7 linked regions of the Macaca fascicularis genome follow. The protein of the gene in region 2 interacts with the protein of the main gene of each other region in a pairwise test. Links are inferred from orthologs where the notes say so. Each region holds a gene or a part of one and is shown on either strand. Other genes may lie near its edges.

Region 1 (4,269 bases), on a different chromosome or scaffold from region 2:
TAGCCCAGGCTGGAGTGCAGTGGCTCGATCTCAGCTCACTGCAACCTCTGCCTCCTGGGTTCAAGCGATTCTCATGCCTCAGCCTCCCAAGTAGCTGGGATTACAGGTGGGCGCCACCACTCACGAGTAATTTTTGTAATTTTAGTAGAGAAGGGGTTTCACCAAGTTAGCCAGACTGGTCTGGAATTCCTGACCTCAGGTTATCCACCCAACTCGGCCTCCCAAAGTGCTGGGATTGCAGGCGTGAGCCCCTGCGCCCAATTAGCATATAATTCTTTTTTACTTTTGAGACAGAGTCTCACTCTGTTGCCCAGGCTGGAGTGCAATAGCGTGATCTCAGCTCACTGCAACCTCCGCCTCCCAGGTTCAAGCAGTTTTCCTGCCTCAGCCTCTTAAGTGGCTGGGATCACAGGCATGCATCGCCACACTCGGCTAATTCTGTATTTTTAGTAGAGACGGGGTTTCGCCATGTTGGCCAGGCTGGTCTCAAACTCCTGATCTTAGGTGATCCACCCGCCTCGGCCTCCCAAAGTGTTGGGATTACAGGCGTCAGCCACCGCGCCCGGCCCATTCAGCATATAATTTTTGAGTGCCTACTACGTGCCAGACATAGATGAGGCATACGTGCTGTGGTGCCCTTCCAAGTTCACGGGAGGGGAAATGGGTGACCATGCACTGCATGGGAGAGGTCTCCCTGGGGCTTGTGCAAGACTGGAAGAGGTTCCTGACCCAGCCTGGGCCTCAGAAAAGATTACTCTAACGAAGTGACTTCTGAAGGGAATCACGAAAGACTACGGGGAGTTTGCCAGGATAAGAGGAACAAGGGCAAAAGCTCCGAGGCAAAAAGAGTCTGCCTGGAAGCCCTCTGGGGGCAGTGTGGGCTGCTGCTGAGGCCTGAGTGTGCCTGCAGCTTTAACGCCTTCCACATTTTCCCTGTATACAAACACTAGGCTACCCGGGGGCCCGCTTTAAGGTGGACCCAACTGCTGAAGGCTGAACTCAGATGGCAGCAGATGGCGGGAGTTCCAGATGCTGAGTCCTCCAGGAGGTGAGCAACCTAGAGGCTTTCCAGGCAGGGCACGCCTGGGGACGCCAGGCCCAGGACAGAAGTTTGTGGGGTCTACCTTAAGCGAGAGGCCGAGCCCGGCCAGGCCCCGCCCCGCGTGGGGGTGCTCGACCAAAGGAGGCTCTGGCGGGCGACGGAAGGTGGGTCCAAGGAGCTAGCTTGGAGCCCTAGCCTTCCCAGGCTCCACTACTAGGCCAAGTCACGGCCCTAGCTCCACCCCACATGGAGGGACGTCCATGGGCGGAGCGAGCCGTCGATACTCTATGATCCACCATCCGCTTTAGCAGCCAGAGGCGCGGCCAGCCTCCCCTGCTGAAGCGTTCACTTTAAGTCTGGCCGGGAGGCAGTCCCAGATCTCGCGGGACCGACGCCCCGATTCTCGCGAGAGGAGCAATCGACTCCTATTGGCTGTGAGGGTTGAATGTAAGATGGCGCCCAGGGAGCTGTGAGGAGAAAACCCTGTCGGTCTTGGAGCGACGACGGCAGAACCAGGGTCCCTGGCGGTGCGGCGGGGCCGGCGGGTAGAGCGGAGGCGGCGGCGGCGGTGACGTCGCCGGGTGAGGGCTCCAGTGCGGGCGGGGATGCGGCGAGGCTGTGGGCCTGAGTCGGGGAGCCCACCCCACACAACGGCGGGCGGGGGCGGGCGGGGGCGGGCGGGCCGCTACCGCTGGGCCCTGGAGAACTCGGGGCGGCTCCGGAGCCGAAAACGTTCCTGGGCTCGCGCACCCCGCCTTGTGGGTGGGGGAGGGGTGGGCCGGAGATTTGGGTGGGCGCGGCGCGAGATCGCGCGCTGGTGCGGGCGCGCGGCTGAGCCTGTTTTTACGCGCGGGCGCGCGCGCGCTGTGCGGCTCTCGGTGCGCGTGGCCGCCGACGTGCGCGTTCCCGGCCCGGATATCTTTCCTCTAGGAGCTGTGGCCCGTGGGCAAGAGCGGCTTTCCGTGGCGCGCGCCCTTCACAACCCCCCCAGTTTTGGGGCGCGCGCTCTGATGTTGGGTGGCGGTGCCGCCTCGAGAGCGCGCAGGAGGCTTCTGCTGAGCAGAGGGCCGGCCGAGGCTCGTTGTGCGGGGAGGGTTGAGGATTGGGTCCTTTCTGGTCTGGTGACGTTCCCGGGCATCCGTGGCCTCGGCCTGGAAAGAAACCAACCAGCGTTGCTGTCTGGCTTGCGGCTCCACTCCTCTGTGAGCGGGGCGAGATTGCCCGTTCTCCTTAAAGAATGCCGTTACTTGAGGCCCAAGTACGGTGTGGGTGCTTGGGTAGGGTGCTTCTGCTTCGGAAACCAAGCCCTGTTGGCTTGAGAGGGCAGTGAGCCCCTTCGGATTTCCTCACCTTGTACTGGGCTTTGTGCCGGGCAGGGAAGGTTAATATTAGAAGGCCCTTGAGTAGTAGCTGCTTATTTTTCATTAGAAATTAATACGTCCATAAGCGCAATTCATACACGTCACCACTGTGCGCTCCGGAAGGGAATTCGCTTATGTGGACCATGTGAACTCCGAGCTCTAAAATGCCAGTTTAAATCCTTAAACGCAGGCTTTTCTTTTGCGTAGGTGGGAGGGGCTTACTTTAGTCTGTTATACTAAAGGCCCACCTTTGCCTCAGCCAAAAAGTTGACCTTAAAACAAAATTGAACAACCTGAGAATCAGTGCTTTGTCTTTTTTGAAATTGCAGAAATCTCCAAGAGAAATTATTAAAATCTGACAGTGTATGACTGTAAAAGTCACTTTTGATGTAGGATTTCAGTCCTTTTCAGTTCTTTTTTTTTACCCTGCCACTGTGTTTTAGTGTCAAGGAAGTTCTAGGTTTGTCCTAGAGAAATGTGCACCTCTATTTTCTAATACAAAATATCTGCTAGTTTATGATTTACAGTCTTGCTCCATTAAGCTTCAGGAAAAGGAAGCTAACAGGAAGTAAAATTAGCCATCAGATTTGATAATGGTGGGGTAGTTCTTTCTAATGTACTGTATTTTTTTTAAGAACAAAGTTAAAATTATTAATAAAAAGAGGCTGAGGATGGAAGGAACTTTTTTGTTCTATCTTCTTCAGAATATTAGAAGTCTTAAGAACTCAGGACAAGCAGCAGAAATACATGCAACATGGTGACTGGTGAGTTAAAATTGTTCATATGCTGGAAGTATGTGTGCAGTTTTTTTTTCTGGTAATACTGAAGCATTACAAATCCTGTCAATTATTCTGCGTGCTGTCTTCCAGAAACTGTTAGGTGCTGTAAAATGAAGATGGGGGAGAACAGCATCTTTGAACTCAGCCAGTTTGCTACTTGCGCAGTTTTCTCCTGTTAGGATTTAAGTCAGTGGAACCCGCATATTTAAGCATGGCAAGGCATCAGCTTTTAAAAGGACCTAGATGGTTCAAAGAAAAGCTGTAAAGTTTTTCTAGGATACACTTAAAATTTTGATTTTTTTTTTTTTTTTTTTTTGAGACGGAGTCTCGCTCTATCACCCAGGCTGGAGTGCAGTGGTGTGATCTTGGCTCACTGCAGCCTCCTCCGCCTCCCAGGTTGAAGTGATTCTCCTGCCTCAGCCTCCCGAGTAGCTGGGACTACAGGCTTGTGCCACCATGCCCGGCTAATGTTTGTATTTTTGGTAGAGATGGGGTTTCACCATGTTGATCAGGCTGGCCTCGAACTCCTGACCTCGTGATCCACCCGCCCTCGGCCTCCCAAAGTGTTGGGATTACAGGTGTGAGCCACTGCACCCGGCCAAATTTTGATTAGTTTTTTAGGCTTGCTTGTTCTGGGTTATCTTTGTTTTTAACTATTAAGTTTGAGATCTGCCTTGTAAATTGGTGTTTATAAATAATGTTTCTCCAAGTTTGTCAACTAAGATTTACTTATTAGATGTCTTCCTTCGGGTCCTCTCTGATGAAGTATTCGTATACCTCTTTGAGAACCTCTGCAGTTCCACATCCTCTCTCCAGCTTATGTTGTCATTTCAAACTGAAGATCAAATAGTGGCTTAATTTTCTTTTAACTTTGAATTGCTCTAGGAAAGTAACCAAAGTCAGGGGCTCTGGACGTGACTGTCTTTCTTTAAGGCAGCTTCAGAATCAGGGATGTCTTTCCTTACTTTGGATATGCTTTTTTTTTTTTTTTTGTAATATACTTTCTTTTAGTTTAATTAGTTGTGGTTTATATTTGATGTGCCGTGCTTCTTTCTTGTCTGGTTTTTAAATGACCACTCTTGATTTG
Region 2 (3,996 bases):
GAGACACAGAAAGAGAGGGAAAGAATAAGAGAGACCAAGGTGGTAATGCAGGTTCATCAACAAAGACAGGGACGGAGAGGAGCAGATGGAGAATGAAAGAGGGGTATTCAGGCGAGCAGGCAGAAATGCCACAGCCTGAGGCCCAAAGGAAAAGAAACTGAGGTCCAGAGAAACCAGACAAAGACCAATGGTGTGTAGAGAGATGGCAAATGCTGGGTGCGGTGGCTCACGCCTGCAATCCCAGCACTTTGGGAGGCTGAGGTGGGAGAATCCCTTGAGGCCAGGAGTTTGAGGCCAGCCTGGGCAACATAGAGAGACTCCATCTCTACGAAAATGAAAAAATTAGCTGGGCATCGTGGTGTGTGCCTGTAAAGTCTCAGCTACTTGGGAGGCTGAGGAGGGAGGATCCCTTGAGCACAGGAGGTCAAGGCTGCAGTGAGCCGTGATCATGCCACTGCACTCCAGCCTGGGCGATAGAGTGAGACCCTGTCTCAAAAAAGAAAAAAAACAAAAAAAACCCCAAACCTCAAACTCCACCAAAAACAGAAAAACGAAACACCCTTTCTAATGTCTGCCTATTTTCAGTGCTGGGAGCAGCCCCCGCCCCCACCACTGCCCCCCAAAAGAGGATAATATCATGTCTGACAACACAGAGACAGACAGGCCACAGGCAGGAGTTGATCAAGTCAAAGAAAGAGAAACAGGGGAAACTGAGGCAGAAACGGAGAACAATGAGGCAGTACAGAGATAAACTAACTGTCAGACAAACTGTTGTGCAGAGAAAGGGGGACCCAGGAGAGGGATCCCGAAAGCCCCGTGCCACTCTTTTTTCAGATGGTCTCTCAGGACCCTCTGACAGTTCTCTCCTTCCTCTTTGATGCCTCTCTCTTGGGATACCAGCTGAAGCTGGAGAGACACCAGTTAGACCAAAGGAAGGACTTCCCTGAGGAGTAGGGGCTTATGGTCACCGGCAGGAGCTGGGGCCTCCCTTCCCCGTCAACCCTAATTGCCAAGATGTCATGGGGGGAAGAGGAGGGGATTAAGCAGACGGGTGCCCCTCCCCCTTCCAGCCAATGTCACCTCCTGGTGCCCAGTCGAGTCCCCCACCTTGGCCAGGATTACCCTCCGAGATCCGGGCCATGACAAATGACATCACTCCCAGCCCGGGCTTAAAATCTCCCCATGTGAGGGGACGTGTTTCCTTCAGCCTCTGCTGTCTGGCCGCTCTGTCTAGGTCCTGGGCCACCAGGAGAGCCCCGTCCCTCCTTTCTGAAGGTGAGCGTCTGCAGGAGAGGCGGAGGGGACCGAGGAAGGGAGAGGGAATGGGGGAGAAGAAAGAGAGGGGAGAAGTTGGGTTTATTTTATTCATGGCTGTGTTTGCCGTGCTCTGCAGGTGACATTTGCTGAATAGTCACACACAAAACAGAGGTGTCATCCTGGTGTTTGGGGGAAACAGGGCTGGGATGTGATTGCAGCAGGAGGGAGTAAGGTTAGACAGCAGGGACTGGCCCACGGCACTCAGGGCATTGGAGGATTCAGGGTGGCTTGTGGGCGCCCTCAAGCCCTGACAGCATCCGGGGTTGGGGGCTTCTCACCGTGGTTCTAAGGCAACTCCTCAGCACACCGTTCTGTTGGATTTTCTTTAAAACTCTTAGCACTGCCCAAAATTTTCATTTGCGCAATGATCCACAAATGGCCGGTCTCCCTCCCTTGCTGAGCATTGATTTCTCCCCAGTGCCCCAGCGTGTGGCTGGGATTTGCCTACATATGTGTTGCGTAGATGGATGGATGAATGACAGACAAGGGACGGAACGGACATAGACGCAGAGAGCCCAGGTCTGTGGCTGCAGCAGGCAGGAGTCCGGGTGGACTTGGGCCTGCTCGAGGGAGCTGGAAATGTGATGACTGGGGATCACTGTGCAGGTGAATTGATCACTTGGGGCCTCGACGCACCCAGAGGCTCCGGCTTTCAGCCCAGGCTCTACTTTGGGGTTCCTCACGCTCCTGCTGTCTTAGCTTCCAGCACAGTCACTCTTTCTGATCTTCTGCAAAGCTGTTTTTTTGGAGATGAAGTCACGCTCTGTTGCCCAGGCTGGAGTGCAGCGCCATGATCTCCACTCACTGCAACCTCCACCTCCTGGGTTCAAGCAGTCCTCCCACCTCAGCCTCTTGAGTAGCTGGAACTACAGGCGCGTGCCACCAGGCCCAGCTATTTTTTGTATTTTTAGTAGAGATGGGGGGTCTTTCTATGTTGTCCAGGCTGGTCTCGAACTCCTGACCTCAAGTGATCTGCCCGCCTCAGCCTCCCAAAGTGCTGGGATTACGGGCATGAGCCCCTGCGCCTGGCCGGTCTCCTGCAAAACTCTGATTGACACTTTGTTCCTTGTCTGCCCCAGTCAGGAGGACTGGGGCCTTGTCTGTCTTGTTCTCGGCTGTATTCCCAGTGCCTGGGTCAGTCCTAGACACACAGTGAGTGCTCACTGAATATGGAGGGAATGAATGAATGAATGTATGAATGAATGGATGGATGAAGGGCAGAGGGTAGAATCAGGTAGACAGACTGCCACAGAGAGGAGGTGTGATGCGGTTTTCCCAAAAGGACCGAGCGAGGGCTGAGATGGCCACAGAGTGAGGTCTGACTTCAAGGCTGCCCGCTGTGTTTGAATTTCTGGATGCTCCAGGGATCACATTGTTGATCACTGAGTTGATTTGCTCAGACTCTAACTGTGCCATGGGTCTCGGCTTCCCCCAGGTCTCATGCCCGGCAGTGGGTGCATCCACCCAGCTCCTTATCCCCACTGGACAGAGGTGCCAACAGAGGCTGCAGAGAGGCTGGAGTGGCTGACAAGAGAGGGCCCTGAACGTGGTTGGGCTGGGAGGGTCTTCCCAAAGGCTGGCATGAAGCCACATGAGTCTGTTTTTTTGTTTTTTGTTTTTTGTTTTCTGTTTTTGCGATGGAGTCTCGCTCTGTCACCCAGGCTGGAGTACAGTGGCACGACCTCGGCTCACTGCAACCTCCACCTCCCAGGTTCAAGCGATTCTCCTGCGTCAGCCTCCCAAGTGGCTGGGATTACAGGCACCCACCACCATGCCCGGCTAATTTCTGTATTTTTAGTAGAGACAGGGTTTTACCATGTTGGCCAGGCCGGTCTCGAACTCCTGACCTCAGGTGATCCACCCACCTCCGCCTCCCAGAGTGTTGGGATTACAGGCGTGAGCCACCGCGCCCTGCCGAGTCTGGGTTTAAACCCTGTTCTTTTCTCACTGTGTGGCCTTGGACCCCTCACATGGGCTCTCTGGGTCTCGGTTGCCTCCTGTGCAAAGTGGGGACAATGAGAAGCTGTCACGATGATCCAGCCAGATAAGCCATGGGAACCCCGTGTTGCGGGCCTGGCCTGCAGTGGGAGCAGGGCAGGATACCAGCTTCATTCTGTTTCTGGGGTCCCCAGGTAGACTTGAGGGTGAAGAGCGGGGCTCTGGGGCCAAAGAGATTTAAATTCTACCCCTGGTTCTTCCACTCATCACCTGTGTGACCTCGGGAATTGACGAAACCTCTCTCAGCCTCAGTTTCCTCCTCTGAGAAAGGGACCTCTGAGCTCCGTGGGGCTGTGGTGAGTGTCCTAAGAAGCCATGTCGCCTGGTGGTCAGGAGGGCACAGGCTCCGGGGCAGGTGCTGGCCCAGCCCTGGCTCTGCCGCTGATGTGCGAGACAGAACTGGAGACTCCACTTCCCTCAGCCTCAGTTTCCTCCTCTGTAAAGCCGGGATGATACCAGGAGCCGCCTCGGAGGAAGTTTCCATGGGGTTATGGTTCCCTGAGATCTTGTTCCCAAGGTCCGTGGTGCATGCAGTGTGTGAGAAGCTGGGACCCCCTGGAAGTCCTTAAGGTCTTCAGCCACCTGACCTGTGGGCACCTCCCTCCCTCCCAGGCTCAGTCTCCCCTGCTGTAGAACGGAGTTATCTGCGTGTCTGCCCCATCAGGTGGCTGTGAGCTTTCA
Region 3 (3,500 bases), on a different chromosome or scaffold from region 2:
CCCAACATTGGTACTGTGTAAAAGCTCCCAGGTGATACTACTATTCAGCTGGGATTAAAAACTAATGGAACAATATGAAATATAAGGTGAGTTTTTATTGACATTTTAATAGGTATGTCCTTTTTCCACCTTGCAAGGGATTTGTTTATTCTCTTTAAGTTACATTTTTTTAATTAAGTAGAAATAATTGTATTAGAAAGTATACTGGAAAATCTGATGGTTTTACAGGATATTTTAAATAAAAGTGAGTAATAAGAATGATTGTGAGAAGCTGGCTTTTCCTTACAAGGATTAAAATCTTTATAATCATAATTGCATGTATAATATAGTAATTTTTTATTGCAGATATTTATTTTAATATAAACTATGTTTATTGTCTGGATTTTAAAAACTTTTTAGTAAACATTTTTAATAATTACTATAATGTCTGTAATTTATGTTAGATTAAGTGGATGGACTTATCTAATTTGGTTTCATATTAACATTTCATTGATAATCTTTGTTTTCAACAGATATTAGAATGTGAATTCTATCTTTTAGAACTAATGGTAAGTAAATCTTCTGTGATTAATAGATTAAAACATTTTTAAAATTTAATGAAGTTGGAAATTATTTAAAGAAATTATTTTAGGGAGGTACATTTTAAAACCATCCACCTGATATGTGATGGTGAAATCATGGTAGCCTATTTATATTAGCATCTAGAGTCTCTCTGATGCCTGTAAAATAATTTGTATATCCTACTTAGGGATGAGAAAATTTTTCTGTTCTATAGTAAGTAACTATAATGAAAGGATTACAAACAGACAAGTCAGGACATTAAACCACCGTAAATTATGTGCACAATTTGTGTGTGCGTGCAGTGTTATTTAAAGATAGATTATGTCTTTGGCAGAATTCTGCTCCTCCAGTTGGGAATTATGGATTTATAGGCTAATAAGAGGTTTCAGTGTGTTGCAGATGTGACACTTTGAGTCTCTAAGGGAATGAATGGATGCTGACTGACTGCCAACCGATTTATCAAGGTATATTCCAGAGAGAGCACTGCCTTCACTATTATAGTAGAGTTTAGGGCTGTCATACTGCTTGCTTAAGAGAATAAAAGGGAAGCAAGCATGAGTTAGTGAAATTCACTTTGAAATACACAATTACAAATCAGTTGGGTAATGATAACATTTTTGTGTTGTAATAAATCTGTTTTTTATACATACACATTTTTTAAACTGTTTCTAGGATTGTTGCTTGATAGTGTATCATCCTTATAGACCTTTGCTCCAGTATGTGCAGGACATGGGCCAAGAAGACATGTTGCTTCCCCTTGCATGGTAATTAGAACAGAAGTTATTAATAGTGTAACGTGTTATTAGATAGGAAGGTTGACAATTAAATATGAAGTCCAGTATATTTAAAGTCATTAAACTATTGCCCCAAGATATTTTATGTTGAGCAAAATACCACTTGTTGAATTTTAATAACTATAGTGGTGTAAATGCCAAAATGAAAACAATCCTAAATTATCTGTTCCATAAATATACCTATTGAAATTTAATTTTATACAAAACACAGACTGTTAACATAAAAATTAAGACTGAAGCTATCTTTAAAGTAATCAGAATACTTTTTGGTAGTATGCAACATACATACAAATTTACTGTATAATTTCTGTTTTTCTAATTTGATTTTTCAAAAATTAGAAAAATGTGTTTATAATTTGTTATGAGATTTTGAAATTTAAAATATATTTAGCTGTAATTTTATTCATTGATACGTGCTTATTTGTTATCACATTCATGTATCCATCCTTTTGCCTTGATGTTTTCACTTTTATAGCTGTGCTTCAGTAATATAAAAGGAAATAAATGTGTGCAAAGATGAGAAATCTGGCCCTCTCTGGAGGAAATGTACAACCAGATGAGGTAGTTCTGCTTTCAGTAATAATATGATTTACATTTCTATAGGAGGATAGTGAATGATACCTACAGAACGGATCTTTGCCTACTGTATCCTCCTTTCATGATAGCTTTAGGTATGTAAGCATGGTGTGCCTTTATTAGTTAAATTAGTTATAAACCTATTTAGGTCATCCTAAACTAAATTTCACCCTGTTGTACTTTGTGTTTTTATGTTCCATGAAGTAATAGACTAATCCTTGCATGTGAACTTTCAATAATATGAACTGCAACTGTCACAAATCAGGATTATTATTCCCCCACCCCCTTTTTTTGGTAAGTTTTTTTTTTTAAACCATTCAAAATAGTTTTAATCAGTGTCTGAATAGAACATATTTGTTTATTTAGAGGGAAAAGTTCAGAATTAAGCCAGCTAATATTAGTTGTAGCATGTAAAATAATTGGGCCTTTCATATCTTGAGCCCAAACAAGTACTCAGAGGTTGTGTAAAGGAGCATCTGTGGTCCATAATGCTTGGCTGGAGGAAGAAGTTAGATACATTCATTCTACTGTCTGTGGAAAGCAGTGCTGTAATGGGTGGAGTCAGATAGTCCTAGGCTTAAACTTTACTTCCTTTACAATTGTGGGAAAATTATCTGACCTTTCCGTGTTTGTTTCCTTAATTGTAAAATGGAGAGAATACTAGTAATTCCACTGAGCCATTTGAAGAATTAAATGAGATAGCTTGTACAGCACCAAATAATGCCTGTTATATATTGGGCACTTGTTAATTTTGTTCCTTTTCCTTCTGTTGATTTTTTTTTTTTTTGAGATGGAGTCTCGCTGTCTCCCAGGCTGGAGTGCAGTGGTGTGATCTCAGCTCACTGCAACCTCTGCCTCCTGGATTCAAGCGATTCTTCTGCTTCAGCCTCCTGAGTAGCTACAGGAGGATTATAGGTATGCACCATCATACCTGGCTAATTTTTGTATTTTTAGTAGAGATGAGGTTTCACCATGTTGGCCAGGCTGGTCTTGAATTCCTGACCTCAGGTGATCCACCCTCCTTGGCCTCTCAAAATGCTGGGATTACAGGCATGAGCCACCGTGCCCAGCCCCTTCTATTGATTTTTATAACTCCATCCTCTTGATTTTCCCCTCTTATTTTCCATTGGTTTGTCTTTGTTCAGTTGTTAATTATTCCTTAAATGTTGATGTTTCTTGGCCTTCTTACATCAGGGCTGACAAATAGGTTATACTTACACTCCTCTATTACTGGCAGCTCCCTGAAAGGACTGGATTTGAAAGGATTTTTGAAGTGGTGTCTGGGTTCAGCGGGTACGAATACTGGGATCTCTATAGGTAGGAAGGAAGGGATAACAACATGTGTCACATCTTTGCCATCCCTGCAGTTTTCTTCTTGGGTACTTTCCATGAGATTCATGGCTTCTACTATCACTTATGTGCTGAAACATTTAAATTTCTTTATTTAGCCAAGATCTTGCCACTTTTCAGTTCTTTATATCCATCTTCCTTTTACATAGCTCCACTTGGCATCCCAGCAGCACCTCAGCCTCATGATGAGGATTGAGCTCATCACTTTGCCCCAAAATA
Region 4 (3,500 bases), on a different chromosome or scaffold from region 2:
CATCTCTGAGGAGCATAGGACTGTTGCAGCCTGTAGGTGACTGTGGTGACCAAGCCAGCAGCCACCTGGGCTGCTTTTCATACCCGATCTGTAGGTCATTTATCAGGTTTTGTTGTGTTAACTTTAGGTGTCACCAATAACAAGTAGAGGAATTTTAAAAATAGTATTTTTGAATTAAATGCAGTTGATTATGCCTTTATTTTAGGAAGAAAACCTTGTGGTCCCGTGATTTACTCGGGCATGGCATGGCGCTGTGCTCGCACTCAATGTGGGGACAGTTACAGGGACGCTAGGCTGGATTTTCCTGTGGGCACATCACAGAAAGGCAGAGGCTTCCCAAGCTGGTTTTTGGAGAGTGAAGTTCAAGAACGGTGTTTTATCCTCAGGTGATAACCACTTTGTATTTCAAGTGCTAGTTCCTTCTCTCCCCACCCTTCCACAACAAAGTGTACCTTAGATATCCCTTGTGACCAGAAAGTGCTAAGGCTTAAAAACGCACAATTGAAATCTGTGGGTGAGTCTGCACTTTGAGATGAAGCTGTGTTAGCCCGCCTGTCTGAACACACTAGTGCTTCCTCCAGGGTGGCACCAGGTTTGGTGGTTTCTGGGCCGTGGTTTGTTCTTTGGTAGAATTGTTTCCTTCAAAGCAGAACCCTGAGCCCTGTGGTTGTGGCTCACACATGTTCCTGCACAACCTGGAGGCAGCACGTGTGTCCTTCCATCCCAATCCACTGTGATGTTTGCCCCTTTCTTTCTAGGGCGCTACCGTTTTGGACGATACCAACACTTACATGGTTACGAACGTTAGATCTGTACCATAGGAATTAGTTGGGATGGAGTGACTGAAAATGTCAAGCCGGTTTTCGTGCAAGTGTGTCACCCCAGAAGCTTTATTAACTGGGTGTGATAACAGCTGGTGTGGTCGCAGTCTGTTCTGTGTCACACACTCAGCATCCTCATCCCGGCTGTCCTGAGCCTATCCAGTTGTGCAGACAGAACACCAACAATTAGGAAAGTTACGCTGTTAAAAACCCCATCTCCAGTTTATTCTTCCTTAGCGTTTGGGGCTCCTCCCCGCTCAGGACGGGTCCCTGGGAGTGGACTGTGTTGAATGACTCTTAGGCCTCCCCCTCACTGCGGGTCCCTGGGAGTGGACTGTGTTGAATGACTCTTATGTGCTCTTACCATGAATGTTGTTGTTTTAAGGCCTTCTTTTTCTTTGTGATTCTTTTGTTCCCTAGCGTCGTCCCCCAGACTACAGTAATACTCAACAATGATCGGCAGAACGCCATTGTAGCCAAGATGGAAGACCCCTTGAGCAACAGGGCACCGGATTCCCTGGAAAATGTCATTAGCAAGTCAGTAGCACGGCACCAACCCCACCTTTCCCTGCCACTGTGAGGAGTCCCGTGAGAATAAGTCAACGTCCCCAAGCCAGGGCACAGTCCAGCACGCACTTCATCTCTGTGGTCACAGGGTTGAGCTTGGCAGGCACCGCCCCAGCTCTCTGAGGTCGGGGAGGGCAGGCTGGGTGATGCTGAGTGCTGAGTCCAGCCACACCAGGGGGCAGCTGCCGCCGGGGACTTCCGTGTCTCGTGCTGGCTGGGGTTGTGGAGGGGGCTGGCTCTGTCTCCTCACAGCAGTCAGTGAAAGCATTCATCCTCCCACCTAGCTCAGTGGTCCTGACGTCTGTCTGTCTGTGCAGAGCGTGTCAGGCAAACAGACACCCTCTCCCACGATTGCTAAGTGGTGCAGGCATGTTGAGTTTATGACTTTTTTCTTATGCCTTTTTCTCTTGAGACATTTTGAACGGAACTTGGGTCAGAGGTGGGAGTGGACAGAAGACGCCATCCCTGCCCTGTGTGAGGGGAAGGCTGTGCAGTGGCCTCTGGCTGGCATCCGGGCCCTGCTCTCCCCAGGAGTGCCCCTTAGGGCTGCGTGAACCCCTGAGGATGCTCTTGCTTTTTCTTTCCCATCTGTGTCTTCACAAAGTTCTATTTGCTTTTTCTCTCAGTCTCCTTTGTGGATTGCTCCTCCTCCAGCTTCGTCCCCTTTCCGTATTGTCTTAGCTCAGTTCTCCAGGGCTGCAGCTGTGGTCACGAGGGTCTGATACGTGGGGTGAAGGGAGAGGAGTTGGTGATGGGTGGTGAGGAGGTGCCAGGGTCAGCTGTGCCTCGGGGGCTTTGCGCTGAGGTCAACCAGGCAGATAGCCAGTGTTGAGATCAGGTTCAGCATGGACAGCGCTCTGGAGAACCCAGGCCAGAAAGCGCAGAGTGCAGCCTCCTCTGGGTGCGGCCAGTGTTTTCAGCACCCCTTTTTTTTGACTTTGCAAATAGAGAAATTGTGGTCCTTTCTCTTCTGGTGCGTAGCAGTCCACGGTAGGGGATGTTGAAAGGGTCATTAAAAAAGGGAAGTAGTAAGTCTCTAAATCATCTTTTTTTTGAGCACTTGTGGAGCTGGCCTCGCCCTGCTTTGCTAGCGGTGTTCTGTCTTTCCACATCAGCAGCCCTTGGGATGATGGCAGCTCCGATGGGATCTCAGTGGGTTTTTTAAGCCCCTTCAGGGTTTTTTTGCCTGTGGGCATACTTGGGAGTGCTGCTTGCTTTGCAGAGGCGGAGCCATCTCCAGCACGCCCAGCAGCATGGATCGAATTGACCCAGGCCTCTGGGCACAGTCTTCTGATTTAGTCTTTCCTTTAACCTCGCCTGAAAAAAGACTCCTACCAGCATTCTATAGGTTGACTGCTGAACTCAGAAGGCAGCATACTAGGCCTGAGTCCCAGTGAGTTATGATTTTACTTCTTTTGTGATACAAATATTTTCTTTAAATGGTTAAGTTTTATTTTATACAGTTTCGTTTAGCCCCGGGCCATTTTCTCCTATGGAGTTGCTATTAATCTTGGTAGAGAGAGCGGTCTGGGAAGGCTGTGTGATCCACTGGTCCATGCAGAGTTAGATCTTGTGATAAGGAAAGCACTGACCTTCGCGTGCTGCTTGTGGCTCTTACCACACTGGGTTGGTGTGTTTTTTTCCCGTTCAGCGCTGTGCCTGGGCGTCGGCAGAACACCATTGTGGTGAAGGTGCCGGGCCAAGAAGACAGCCACCATGAAGACGGGGAGAGCGGCTCGGAGGCCAGCGACTCGGTGTCCAGCTGCGGACAGGCGGGCAGCCAGAGCATTGGGAGCAACGTCACCCTCATCACCCTGAACTCAGAAGGTGCGTCCCAGGCGTCTTCTTTCCTTGGCCAGAGCAGCAGGAGGATTTTTGTTTGTTTGTTTTGCTTTTTAGAAATTAATTTAGTTGTTTTTTAAAAAAGTGATACAGTGGCCGGGTGCGGTGGCTCACGCCTGTAATCTCAGCACTTTGGGAGGCCGAGGCAGGTGGATCACCTGAAGTTGGGAGTTCAAGACCAGCCTGGCCAACATGGAGAAACCCTGTCTCTACTGAAAATACAAAATTAACCAGGCGTGGTGGCAGGTGCCTGTAATCCCAGCTACTTGG
Region 5 (3,953 bases), on a different chromosome or scaffold from region 2:
ATACGATCAGTCTAACGTAGTAACATAATAGTGGAATAGACGTGATCTTAAAATCTATATTAGCTGTGTGATTTTTGACAAATAACTTTCCCTCTGTTTCCCATCATTTGAAAAAGGACTAAAAGTTCTAAGTGACTCCTAACATTAACAATCTAATACCCTATAATCAAATCTATAAATATTTTCAGCGGAGAGCTTTAAACTTGCCGCTGTGAAGTTTAAGGGAAATAGCACCTATTATATATCAACCCCATCATTTTCTTCTGTTGGCAAAACTGCAGACCCTGCTTGGGTTGTAGTAATACGGTGACCGCCACGTGAAAAACATTTTTCTCGGTGTTTTCTTTTAAATATGCCAACTATAGACTTTAACCAGCTGTAAGGCAGTGCCTGAGGTGTGGAGACACCTGAGGAACTGTGTGGGCTTTCTCCCTCGAGGTGGGCCTACGATGAGTTTTAAGCAAAGGGCAGCAGTCACCTGGCACCAGGAAAAACTCCTTGCCCTCTGGAGGGAGTCGCCCCAGGAACGTGGGTTTTGTGTTCCTGTTTAAAGTTGAGTCCTCTAGAACCGAAGAGTCCCAGACATCTGCCGAAGGTGCCCTCCCAGGCCCCCTGCTTGGGAGCGCCCACCTGGAACCTGGGCATAGAGGAATGAAAATGCAGACCCGCACAAGCGTGAGGACACGCCGGGAGACCCCCGCCCGCCAGGAGTTGGGGCAGGTCCGGCTTGGGCGGGGGCGTCGGGGGAGGGGTGGTGACCCTGAGTCCCGCGCGGCAAGGGCGCGGGCCACCGCAGGTGGGGGCGTCGGCGAGCAGGCAAGCGGGGACGGAGACTCTGGGCTCCATCGGGCTTTGTTCCGTCACGAGCCGAGCCCTCCTTTCCGGAGAAGCCAATTAGATCTCCGACGGAGGAATCATCCGACCTGCGCCCCCGCCGGGAGGGGGCTCGGGAGGGGCGGGGCCCAGCGCTTGGCTCCTCGCGAGCGCGGCCGCGGGCTGCGTGGGGGAGTCCCGGCGCCGTCGCCGAGCCCGGCCCCGCCCTCGCCAGGCCCCGCCCTCGGGGCTTCCCGGGCGCGCGCCGCCCCGCCGTGTCCGCGCGCCACGCCCCCCTGCTCGCGGGCCGCGTGCGGAGCCGCGCGCCCGGGAGGCTCCCGGACCGTGGCGGCGGGCGGCGGCAGCGCAGCCCTCCGCGGGCCATGTCCTCTCCGGCGGTGGCGAGGAGTTCCCCGGGAGGGAGTCGGGAGATGGCCCCGGCGCCGCAGGGCCGAGGCCGGTTCTGGGAAGTGGGCGGCGGCAGCGGCCTTCGGCTGGAGCGCGCGGCCGCGGAGTCGGAGCGCTGGGAACTGCTGCTCCGCCGCGGGGAGCTGCTGGCGCTGGGCGGCCACCTGAAGGGCGCGCTGGAGGCGTTCGCGGCGGCGCTGCGCCGCGGGGCCCCGGCCAGGCCCGAGTGCCTGGGCGCCCTGGTGGACTGCCTGGTGTTCAACTACCGGCTCCGCCACGGGCTGAGCTGGAGCGCGGCCCCGGCTGCGGGCGCGGACGGCGGCGCCTGCGGGCTCCTCAGATGCCTGGGCTGCCGGGGCTTCCTGAGCGAGCCGGTGACCGTGCCCTGTGGCCACAGCTACTGCCGCCGCTGCCTGCGGAGGGAACTCCGCGCCCGCTGCCGCCTCTGCCGGGACCGGCTGCCGCCCGCCACCGCCAGTGCCACTGATGCTGAAGGGACCGCCCCGCGGCCGCCGCCTCTGGCAGCCGCCATCGCCGCCTCAGACTTCAGAACCAGCGTCGTCCTCAACCACCTGGCCGAGAAGTGGTTCCCGGGCCAGCGCGAGCGGGCCCGGGCGGCTGGCAGACTCGGGGAGCTGCTACACCAGGGGCGCTACCGGGAGGCCCTGGCCGCCGCCTGCGAGGCGCTGCGAGCAGGTGACCGCGCGGGGATGCGGCGGGGCCGGGCCGACCGCACCCTCCTGGCCCCGAGGGCCGGGGACCCGGAGCTTGTCTGCGTCCCGGGAGTCTCCTCTGCTTCCCCGGGGCCGCTGGGCCACTGGCGTGTTGGGTCTCGGGGTGCTGGGGGGTGTGGGAGGGGGCGGCGCCCCGGGGTGCTTCGGTCACAATGGGGATCGCCCTGGGAGCCGACTGTGACGCAGCGCGGGGAGGGGCGCTCGGCGCGGGGTTCCCTCGGCCGCGGCCTGGCCGTCGGGCGCGCGCTCCGGGCGCGGAGTGGGTGACCGGAGCCGTGGGTGCCCCGGCGCGGGATGGGTGGGAGCTGGGCTATCCCGAGCGGCCGCTCGCTTCCTGCCGCGCGCTTTCCGGGAATTGACTCTCTCGCGCCAGGCCCGCCGCGGGGAAACGACTGCCGGGGTGGGGAGAGAATCCCCCACGAGGACAACTAGGCCGGGAAGGCGGCGTCTCCCTTCCTCACCCACAAAAGTCACCGGGACAATTGGGAGCCGCGGGAGGGCAGAATTGCATAAGCTGGGGGCGGGGGTCGTTGTGTAACGGGTGACGTCCGGTGGGCGTGGCGGGAGCTCCGGGCGGGCACCCGGCCCCGGGAGGCCCCGCAGGCCGCCGGGCTTGGGGCGCGGGGCGGAGCTGCCCCGGGTGGTCCCTTGCTACCTGGAAATGCCTGAACTGGTTTCTCTCGAAAGTTTCAGCCGGCCTGTTTCAGATCATGCTTATTTCCTATGTACTTTGCAGTGCACCTAGCTTATGGTAAAGATGAGAGGGGCTTCCTGATCCAGAGTTCTTTGCCACGCTTCTCTTGGCCGTTCCACTTAGGATCAAGCTGTGGGGAAAGGCCTTGTAGGTCTTGAGTGCATTTCTTAGTCTCCAGGAAGCAGCCTCGGCCTCCTAACCTAGGTTAGCTAGCACTTTCTTCTTAAGGTGGTTTTAGGCGCTGAAAGGGGGCAGTGTCAAGCTTCTCTTATGTAAAAGGAAGAGTTGTTCTTTAAATCAGTAGTTCTTTACCAGCCGGATTTACCTCCCCTCTCTCAGGGGACATTATCTAGAGCAATATCTGGAGACATTTTTGGTTGCCACCTCTTGTGGGGGTGGTGCTGGTACCGACATCTAGTGGGAGAGGCCCGGGGTGCTGCTCAGACATCCTATGAGGCACAGCAGGATTCCCACAACAAAGAATTATCAGGCCCCAAGTGCCACTGTTGATAAACCTTGTGTTACGCGTATTTCAAGATTTTAGTGTCTATCCATTGGCATGATAGCTGGGGGAATGGCATGATAGTTGGGGGATAGTTGGGGGAATAATCCCCAAGAAAATAGACATCTAGAATAGCAGCTGACTTTAGGTATTACAGGTAAATTTATAGACTGTGTAACTGAAAGGATCATCTTTCGGGTCATCTTTTGTCCCAAGTGCTTAGTCATATTGAACTTACGTCAAGATCTTGCATTGTTTAATATCTTCAGAGTTCGAAGCACAAACACCGGAGATTTTTGTATTCTTTCAGTGCCTTTATGAGGAGTAGGCAGTTATAAAATAGAAAGATAGGCTCAGAACAAAAGAAAAGTGTTTGGAATACAGAATTCTGATACGGATGACTCTGTCCCTCTGGGTGAATAAAGAGAAGAGAAACTGGACTCCGCTGTACAGACCATCTAGTAACTGACCATGGTATGATTTTTAAAGCAAAGAAGCAGATGCCAGGCAGTGAAGACTTGCGCACAGTCACAGTGTTAACTGGTTGAGAGGCAGCGCTGTATCTTCCACTTCTCCTAAACGTTGGTCTAGGGTTCATCCTGCCTTATAGCTTATCTGATGAAAATGTTTATTATACATATCCAAAGAAGTTTTTTTGGTCACTGAGGCTGAAACTTATGGACAGTACTACTGATACAGTGATTCGACCTTAAATTAGGTGTTTCACAAGAATCCAGGTCCTGGGCCATGGAAGAACAGTGAACACATTTGCTAATTGAGGTCTAGCTTAACATTTTGTGAC
Region 6 (3,500 bases), on a different chromosome or scaffold from region 2:
TGCTTGTAATCCCAGCTACTCAGGAAGCTGAAGCAGGAGAATTGCTTGAACCTGGGAGGCGAAGGTTGCAGTGAGCCAAGATCGTACCACTGCACTCTAGCCTGGTGACAGTGGGAGACTCTGTCTCAAAAAAAAAAAAAAAAAAAAAAAAAAGGATGGCCTGGACAAGCTTTAGTACCCAATCTGACTCCTTTCTGGATTGTTTCCCTCAACTTGCGTTTTATATTTCAACAGAGCACACACAATTCAGTTTGAAAACCAGTGGTTTCTCTTTCCTTCGCTATAGGTGTAAACAATATCCAGCTGGTGGCTACAGTTCTGCCTCTGGTTTTGCTGCCATGCATCCTGGGCGAACTACTGGTAAAGGGCCCTCCACTCACACTCAGATTGACCAGCAACCTCCACGGCTTCTCATTGTGCACATTGCTCTACCGTCCTGGGGTGATATCTGCGCCAACCTCTGTGAGGCTCTGCAGAACTTCTTCTCTCTAGCCTGCAGTTTGATGGGCCCTAGCCGCATGTCCCTGTTCAGTTTATACATGGTACAAGATCAGCATGAGTGCATCCTCCCTTTTGTGGTATGTATATCTATATTTATTCATTTTATCCTGAAAAGAGATACAGTGGTAAGGTTTCTGGAATAGAGATCACAGTTATTAACACTTACAACAATAACCCCACTACTTCTCCACACACTGTAGCCCCCGAGTGACACCATGAGAGCCAGAGGACATCCTGCATATATAGGGGTATGCACTGTTGAAGAGAAACCCCAAAATTATTAATCTGGGAGTATAAATAGGCTACAAGCTGCCCCTTTCCACTCCAGAGAGAGGGAGAGAAACCTTGGCATTGACAGATGTTTGAAATGTAAACAACTGACTCCTTTTATGCCCTTTGAAATGTAAACACACAAGGAGGGAAGCCTCTAAATCTCTTCTGAGGTCTCTGGCTATTCAATCATCTTTTAAATTACAAGACTTGCCCTTTAACCCAGGTACCAGTTTTCTTTGCTCAGAAAGCCCTAACTATGCAAAAACATGAAAATATTTTTTCTACATTCCACATAGACTCAGGTGAAACTGTCCCCTAGGGTTATGGAAGGCAATCACTGGGCCAGGGGCAGTGTTTTTACAAAGCTCCTTCATACATAAACAATTATCTATGCTCCTCTTCAAAATTTCAATCTTCCCTTTCTCCCTTGTATAAAATTCAGAATCATAGTGATGAGAAAGACTTCCAGAGGTTCTATGCATCTCCTTCCTTGAGGTAGCCTTGCTGCTAATATATGTTATCAAACGGATATAAGTCTTATTTAAGATTTCCAAAAGAGGAAATTTCATAAATCCATTGCTGAATTATGAAAGTAATATATGACTGGAATCTATTTATTTTTTGATTAATGCCTTAGTTTCCCTCATTGGAAGTGGAATGATAACATCTCTGTTGATACTATAAAGAATTAAAATAATATATATTACTTTATGCTTCCTGAGTTAGAACATACCCTGGTTGCTTTGACACAACCTTAGGCTTACAACAACTCACGGTTTATTTCTTGACAAAAGTCACACAGGGAAAGTTTTGAGTATAAATGCTCCAAGTGCTAAGTGTGGGGATTTTGTCTGTGCATTGTTACTTAGGCTGGGTTGGGGATGGGAAAAGGATAAAATTATTTAAGAAATTCAACTGATCCTTTCTACGGTTTGAGCATAATTTGGTACCTCTATTCATTATTTATTGCTGTGTAACAAATTATCCCAAAATGTAGTGGTCTAAATTAATAAACATTATCTCATAGTAGCTATGAGTTAGGAATTCATAAGTGGCTTAGGTAGATCAGGCTTGGGGTCCCTCATAAGGTTGTAACCAAGATGTCAGTCATCTGAAAGCTTGATTGAGACTGGAGGATCCAGTTGTAAGATGGCATATTCACTTAGCTGTTGGCAGAAATTCTTATTTCCTGACTACTCGGATCTCTTCAAAGGACTGCGTGAATGTCCTTAATTTGTGGCAGTGGGCTTCTCCCAGAACAACTGATCCAAAAGAGAGGGAGACCAATGAAGAAGCCAAAATATCTTTTATGTCTTAGTCTCAAAAGTAACATGTTGTCACTTCCTGTACATTCTGTTCATTGGAAGCAAGTCACTGTTCCACCCTATATAGAATAACTGCAAGCAGATTTACCCTCCTGCCTAAAACAATAAAAAAAAACTGGATAAAACCTATGAAAAACACTTTTCAAAACAGTGGACATCACGCAGCAAAGAACAAAGCCCCCAGGAGACAGGAAGTAAATGAGGTGGGACTTAGAATTGTCCCAGCTTGCAGATCACCTGAGGTCAGGAGTTCAAGACCAGTCTGGCCAACATGGTAAAACTCCGCCTCTACAAAAATACAAAAATTAGCCAGACATGATGGCGGCTGCCTGTAATCCCAGCTACTTGGGAGGCTGAGGCGGGAGAATTGCTTGAACCTGGGAGGCGGAGGTTGTAGTGAGCCGAGATTGTGCCACTGCACTCCAGCCTGGACAACAGAGCAAGACTCCATCTCAAAAAAAAGAAAAGAATTGTCCCAGCTTACTGCCTTGAGAAAGTTTCCAAACCACAATGCAGAGAGGGAGAACCTAGGGGTGGGCGCCAGTGGTTTCCTCGAGTCAAGGAGATGGATCTGGGACTTAAGGGAGACCAAGTTATTAATAGCTAGAGGAGAAAGAGCTATATAGAGGAAAGGAGAGAGCTACATACAGAACTCTATAAAGACCTGAAGAGGGTCCCCCTTGAGTATTCAGCAGAGTACTGATCAGTACATGCGCATGAGGAAACTACCCAAGGCCAAAGAAGGAGCCACCCTAAAAGACTAGAGACAATGGTGCCTGATACTCACAACTAGAATAGTACCTGTTCTTATCAGCCAAGCTGGAAATCCTCATAATTCATGATACATTGGGTAGAGGACTCAAAAAGATCTTGCCTTAGTAGTAGGGCATAAAATAGCCCAAGACTTAGTACTGCTCAAGACTACCTAACATAAACACAAGATCCTAAGTGTCACACTGTTTCCAGGTAACTTAACTATCCCAGAACAAAGCTCAATAATATTTATAGAAATACAAAACTATCTAGCACCCATTAAGGTAAAATTCATACTGTCTGGCATTCAATCAAAACTTAAATAGGCATGCAAAGAAGCAGGATTTTATGACTTATGAAGAAATTATTAAAGCTGACACAGAAGTAACATAAATGTTAGAATTAGCAGATGAGGACATTAAGACAATTGTTATAATTGGGTTCCATGTGTTCAAAAAGCTAAGTGGAGATATAGAAGATATTTTAAAAGTTCCAAATCAAACTTTTAGAGAGGAAAACTACAATTTCTGGCATGGAAAGTACACTAGATGGAATTATTGACAGATTAGACATTACGAAAAAAAAGATCAGTGAACATGAAGACATAGGAATAGAAACTATCCAAAATGAAACACAGAAAGAAAACAA
Region 7 (4,132 bases), on a different chromosome or scaffold from region 2:
ACCCCTTATTTAACAGATAAGGAAGCTGAGACCCAGAGGGAGCCAAAGCAGTGGAGAAAGCTAGGAGTTCTTCGGGACTTTACCCCTCTCCCTTTTCCGTCCTTCCCCAGGCTCCTACCTACCCCAGGCTCATTTCCCCCCACCTCCTCCGGGTTCACTTTGTAGGACTCCGTTCCTGCAGGGCCAGGTCCCTCCGAAGTCCCCGGGAGCGCGAAGGCGCCTGGGCTCGCGAGCATACGCGGAGGCGTGGCGCCCGTTCACACATCCCAAACAGCCGAGCGAAGACTCCGAGACACGCACAATAGTTAGGGGAAGAGCCGGCAATGGAGGCCCAAAATGGGCTGACCCGTAACTAGGAGGCATGGGCACGGTTATTCAGCGTAGGGAGCGCGCGGACGGCAGAGGGGCCCATGCACGGTTCCCATGCTCTACTGGAATTGAGTGTTGACTCTCAGGGGACTTTGCTGGAAAGCCTCTGCTTCCAAAGCCTCCATCTAAGCCCCTTTCCGAAATCAGGGAAGCTGGATGCGTTTAGAAAAAAAAAAAAAAATAGGCCGGGTGCGGTTGCTCATGCCTGTAATCCCAGCACTTTGGGAGGCCCAGGCCAGCGGATCACCTGAGGTCAGGAGTTCAAGACCAGCTTGGTAAGGGTTTCGCATGGCGAAAACCTGTCTCTACTAAAAATACAAAAATTAGCCAGGCGTGGTGGCACGGACCTGTAATCCCAGCTACTCGGGAGGTTGAGGCAGGAGAATCGCTTGAACCTGGGAGGCGGAGGTTGCAGTGAGCCGAGATGGCGCCACTGCACTCCAGCCTGGGCAACGGAGTGAGACAAAAAAGAAGAAAAGAGAAGAAAATAATAAGGTTTTAAACTTAAAGGATACATTCCAACTTACCCTCTCCACCCCCACCCCCTGGCTGCAGTTTCCCTTTGCTTCCAGGGCTGAGTTTAACCTCCACCTCCGTTCCTGAGTCTGTGGTGGAGGTGGTGGCTGGCCCCTGGAGCGTGGGCGCTAGCGAGGTAGGCGAAACAGGGCGGAGTCCCCCGGAGATGCATCTTTATAAAGGAGGGATCAGCTGCAGACGTCGATGCTACCGTTCGGGTGGAGACCGTTCAGCACCGCGGCCGAGGACAGGGCCCCGCCCGGGTCCATAACCATTGTCCCCAACTTCCAGATTTCTAAACAATCTCTCTCTCTCTCTCTGCCCCTCCCCTTCACACACATACCCCACTTTCTTCTTTAAAGAGTAGAAAAAAATCACCTGGCGCACCTCTCCTTTTTTCTTCTATTTTTCAGAACCCTGGGCGGAAAGCGCGAGCGAGTTGGGCAGATGCCGGCAGCCGCGGTGCAGGATACGGTCGGCGTGTGCTCATACGGGATGCAGCTCAGCTGGGACATCAACGATCCACAGATGCCTCAGGTAAGTGAACCGGGTGTGTGCGGGCACGCGGGGCGCTGTCTATCCGAAGGAGGGAGGGAGAATGGCATTCAAGTTCTTGAAGAGTCTGCGGACGGACCATACACACACACACACACACACGCACACACACGCAAAATTTCTGGGTTTCTGAGGCCCCCTCAAATGTATAAAGAGAACTGAACTCCACAAAAGGCTGAATTGGGTTTAGAAATGTGTCTTCTCGGCCGGGCGCGGTGGCTCACGCCTGTAATCCCAGCACTTTGGGAGGTCGAGGCGGGCGGATCACCTGAGATCGGGAGTTCAAGACCAGCCTGACCAACATGGAGAAACCCCGTCTCTACTAAAAATGCAAAATTATCTGGGCGTGGTGGAGCACGCCTATAGTCCCAGCTACTCGGGAGGCTGAGGCGGGAGAATCGCTTGAACCCGGGAGACGGAGGTTACTGTGAGTCAAGACCACCCCATTGCACTCCAGCCTAGGCAACAAGAGCAAAACTCTGTCTCAAAAAAAAAAAGGAAAGAAAGAAGAAGAAATGTGTCTTCTCCCAGCAATTTCCTTGTGCTTGCCTGAAATTACGCGGAAAGCAGCAGGAAATGTTGATCAGGCTCCACATTCCCAGTCTTGGGGAGAGCGGGACGCCTGTCCTTTCGCTTCCCGTTAACCAAGGTAGAAATCAGGTGCCTCTCTCCTTATTCATTTACTTTAAATCCATGAGAAAGCTAACGAGAAAATCTAAACAGATGTAAATACCACTGCTTCTCATACAGCAAAACTATGAGGTACAACTATAAAGTGAATCTAATGACCTAAACTTAAAACAAATAGCCAGACTTCAGCAATTTGTTCAGACCTGCCTGACTGCCCAGAGGAAGGAGGCCCCATAGTCATGCCAACGAGGCCATCTGTCCCCGAAACTTACTTCTTCTATAATGACAAGCAAATCATCATTCTTTTAGGGTGAATTCGTTGTATTTTGTATAAAGCATTTTTGTATAAAGCATTTTTGTATAAAGCAAAAATGGTTTGGAGCCAAGTCCAAAGAATGAACTGGGATGGATGAAGTGGTAAATAAAGTGGTTTGAAGCCAATTCCAGAGAATGACCAATTATGCTTGGTCATACTGGTTTGGGCCAAAACTGAGTGACTCTGAAGTCTGGGCTGTGGGGGATGGGGGATGTAGAATGAGAGTTGCTTCCCAGCCATTTACAAATGTGGGCTTCCAGCAATGTTGTGGCACAGGAATAAAAGAGATGTGTCATTTTTTCAGCAACTAAAATGTGCCTGATAGGTGTTCAGATGAATAGTAATTCATTGCAACATTGTGTCGCCTCTCAAAGAGGTCAGCACTTTTTTGGAGCCACACATTTGTAGGTGAGGTGTGTTTTACTCCTTTGTTTTTGTTTGTTTGTTTGGGGTTTTTTGTTGTTTGTTTGTTTTTTGAGATGGAGTTTAGCTCTTGTTGCCTAGGCTGGGTGCAATCGCATGATTTCGGCTCACTGCAACCTCCATCCCCCAGGTTCAAGTAATTCTCTTGCCTCAGCTTCCCAAGTAACTGGGACTACAGGCATGCGCCACCACACCTGGCTAATTTTGTGTTTTTAGTAGAGATGGGGTTTCTCCATGTTGGTCAAGCTGGTCTCAAACTCCTGACCTCAGCTGATCCACCCACCTCAGCCTCTCAAAGTGCTGGGATTACAGGCGTGAGCCACCGTGCCCAGCCCACTCCTTTGTTTTAAAGTCTGCCTACTTTAGAGTCACATGGTACCACTTTCATGAAAGTGGACCACAGTACAGCAAGTGCATCTCATTCTGTTTCTGTCCATGTACATCTTCACAGGAAACAATCATATCTTGCATATTAGAAAATCACATCCAAATAATGTAATTATGGTTCGTCTCTCAAGCATTTGGTAGACTTCCTATGTAAATATGAACTTTGTTTTAGGAGACTGGTTGTTAAGTGGAAGTATGTGTGTAATAGCTCAAAAGGGCCAGGCACACTGGGACATAGTGAAGTGAAGAAACTTAGCATCGCCCTGCTCTGGCTAACCAAGTGAGCGAGTTAAACTACCTGTATGACCTTGAGAGAGTCCTTGAATTTGCCTTAGTCTCAGGCTACTTACCGACTTGTCATCAAGTGGTAGAGTGAGATAACCATCTCAAACTCTCCTCCAGGTCTACGATCAGGTTCAGGTGGAGTGTGTGTGCGTACACACACACACACACACAACATGTCAACACTTTAGAACAAATGAAACCCAATCCTTGACATCCTCTATTCTGATTTTAAAGATAGAGTCTCTGCGGCTCCACTGCCGGGGTCACTACCTCAGTAGCTCGCGTGAGGCATGTGGGCCTAGTCTACATCCTTAAGGGAGAACTAAAGAAAGGCTGTTTTCTGGAAAATTGTCAATTCATTACTAAGATCCTTAAGTTAAAATATTCACTTTGAAAACAAAGATATTAGCATTTAGTATAAGCTTGGAGTTGATAGTACATCATTATATATTTCACTTGTGTCTTACCTTACATTAATGTACTAATTTATGTCAATTGTAATATTTCAGAGAAAAGATAAATAATACCTAATGGTAGTAATAATTATTTCAACAATATCTTTGTAATTTTAGAAACAAAATCACTCATTTACCTTATTACTGTTAGAATGTGCAGTATTCATGATGTATACAAGTCTGAATTTTCCAACTG

The links.
Region 1: the proteins of CRX (region 2) and QRICH1 interact in binary tests that used the Homo sapiens proteins (3 or more experiments, as listed by UniProt). The two-hybrid records come from large-scale screens. The link is inferred for Macaca fascicularis from reciprocal best matches to the Homo sapiens genes CRX and QRICH1.
Region 3: the proteins of CRX (region 2) and CCNC interact in binary tests that used the Homo sapiens proteins (3 or more experiments, as listed by UniProt). The two-hybrid records come from large-scale screens. The link is inferred for Macaca fascicularis from reciprocal best matches to the Homo sapiens genes CRX and CCNC.
Region 4: the proteins of CRX (region 2) and BANP interact in binary tests that used the Homo sapiens proteins (3 or more experiments, as listed by UniProt). The two-hybrid records come from large-scale screens. The link is inferred for Macaca fascicularis from reciprocal best matches to the Homo sapiens genes CRX and BANP.
Region 5: the proteins of CRX (region 2) and LONRF1 interact in binary tests that used the Homo sapiens proteins (3 or more experiments, as listed by UniProt). The two-hybrid records come from large-scale screens. The link is inferred for Macaca fascicularis from reciprocal best matches to the Homo sapiens genes CRX and LONRF1.
Region 6: the proteins of CRX (region 2) and M1AP interact in binary tests that used the Homo sapiens proteins (3 or more experiments, as listed by UniProt). The two-hybrid records come from large-scale screens. The link is inferred for Macaca fascicularis from reciprocal best matches to the Homo sapiens genes CRX and M1AP.
Region 7: the proteins of CRX (region 2) and GCM2 interact in binary tests that used the Homo sapiens proteins (3 or more experiments, as listed by UniProt). The link is inferred for Macaca fascicularis from reciprocal best matches to the Homo sapiens genes CRX and GCM2.

Annotation. Positions count from the first base shown.
Region 1 is NC_088376.1:112,079,671-112,083,939, reverse strand, and holds the start of QRICH1 (transcriptional regulator QRICH1), read left to right. Parts: upstream 1-1,469; 5' UTR 1,470-1,623; intron 1,624-1,942; exon of another isoform or gene 1,943-2,999; intron 3,000-3,107; 5' UTR 3,108-3,167; intron 3,168-4,269. UniProt on the Homo sapiens protein: Transcriptional regulator that acts as a mediator of the integrated stress response (ISR) through transcriptional control of protein homeostasis under conditions of ER stress.
Region 2 is NC_088393.1:55,829,273-55,833,268, forward strand, and holds the start of CRX (cone-rod homeobox protein), read left to right. Parts: upstream 1-1,196; 5' UTR 1,197-1,275; intron 1,276-3,996. UniProt on the Homo sapiens protein: Transcription factor that binds and transactivates the sequence 5'-TAATC[CA]-3' which is found upstream of several photoreceptor-specific genes, including the opsin genes.
Region 3 is NC_088378.1:75,758,689-75,762,188, forward strand, and holds part of CCNC (cyclin-C), read left to right. Parts: intron 1-512; coding exon 513-548; intron 549-950; coding exon of another isoform or gene 951-974; exon of another isoform or gene 975-1,115; intron 1,116-1,233; coding exon 1,234-1,325; intron 1,326-1,958; coding exon 1,959-2,026; intron 2,027-2,135; coding exon of another isoform or gene 2,136-2,146; exon of another isoform or gene 2,147-2,220; intron 2,221-3,500. UniProt on the Homo sapiens protein: Component of the Mediator complex, a coactivator involved in regulated gene transcription of nearly all RNA polymerase II-dependent genes.
Region 4 is NC_088394.1:83,903,431-83,906,930, forward strand, and holds part of BANP (protein BANP), read left to right. Parts: intron 1-1,241; coding exon 1,242-1,358; intron 1,359-3,039; coding exon 3,040-3,215; intron 3,216-3,500. UniProt on the Homo sapiens protein: Controls V(D)J recombination during T-cell development by repressing T-cell receptor (TCR) beta enhancer function. Binds to scaffold/matrix attachment region beta (S/MARbeta), an ATC-rich DNA sequence located upstream of the TCR beta enhancer.
Region 5 is NC_088382.1:12,685,945-12,689,897, reverse strand, and holds the start of LONRF1 (LON peptidase N-terminal domain and RING finger protein 1), read left to right. Parts: upstream 1-1,153; 5' UTR 1,154-1,196; coding exon 1,197-1,917; intron 1,918-3,953.
Region 6 is NC_088387.1:47,298,671-47,302,170, forward strand, and holds part of M1AP (meiosis 1 arrest protein), read left to right. Parts: intron 1-286; 5' UTR 287-338; coding exon 339-578; intron 579-3,500. UniProt on the Homo sapiens protein: Required for meiosis I progression during spermatogenesis.
Region 7 is NC_088378.1:162,067,661-162,071,792, forward strand, and holds the start of GCM2 (chorion-specific transcription factor GCMb), read left to right. Parts: upstream 1-1,332; coding exon 1,333-1,422; intron 1,423-4,132. UniProt on the Homo sapiens protein: Transcription factor that binds specific sequences on gene promoters and activate their transcription. Through the regulation of gene transcription, may play a role in parathyroid gland development.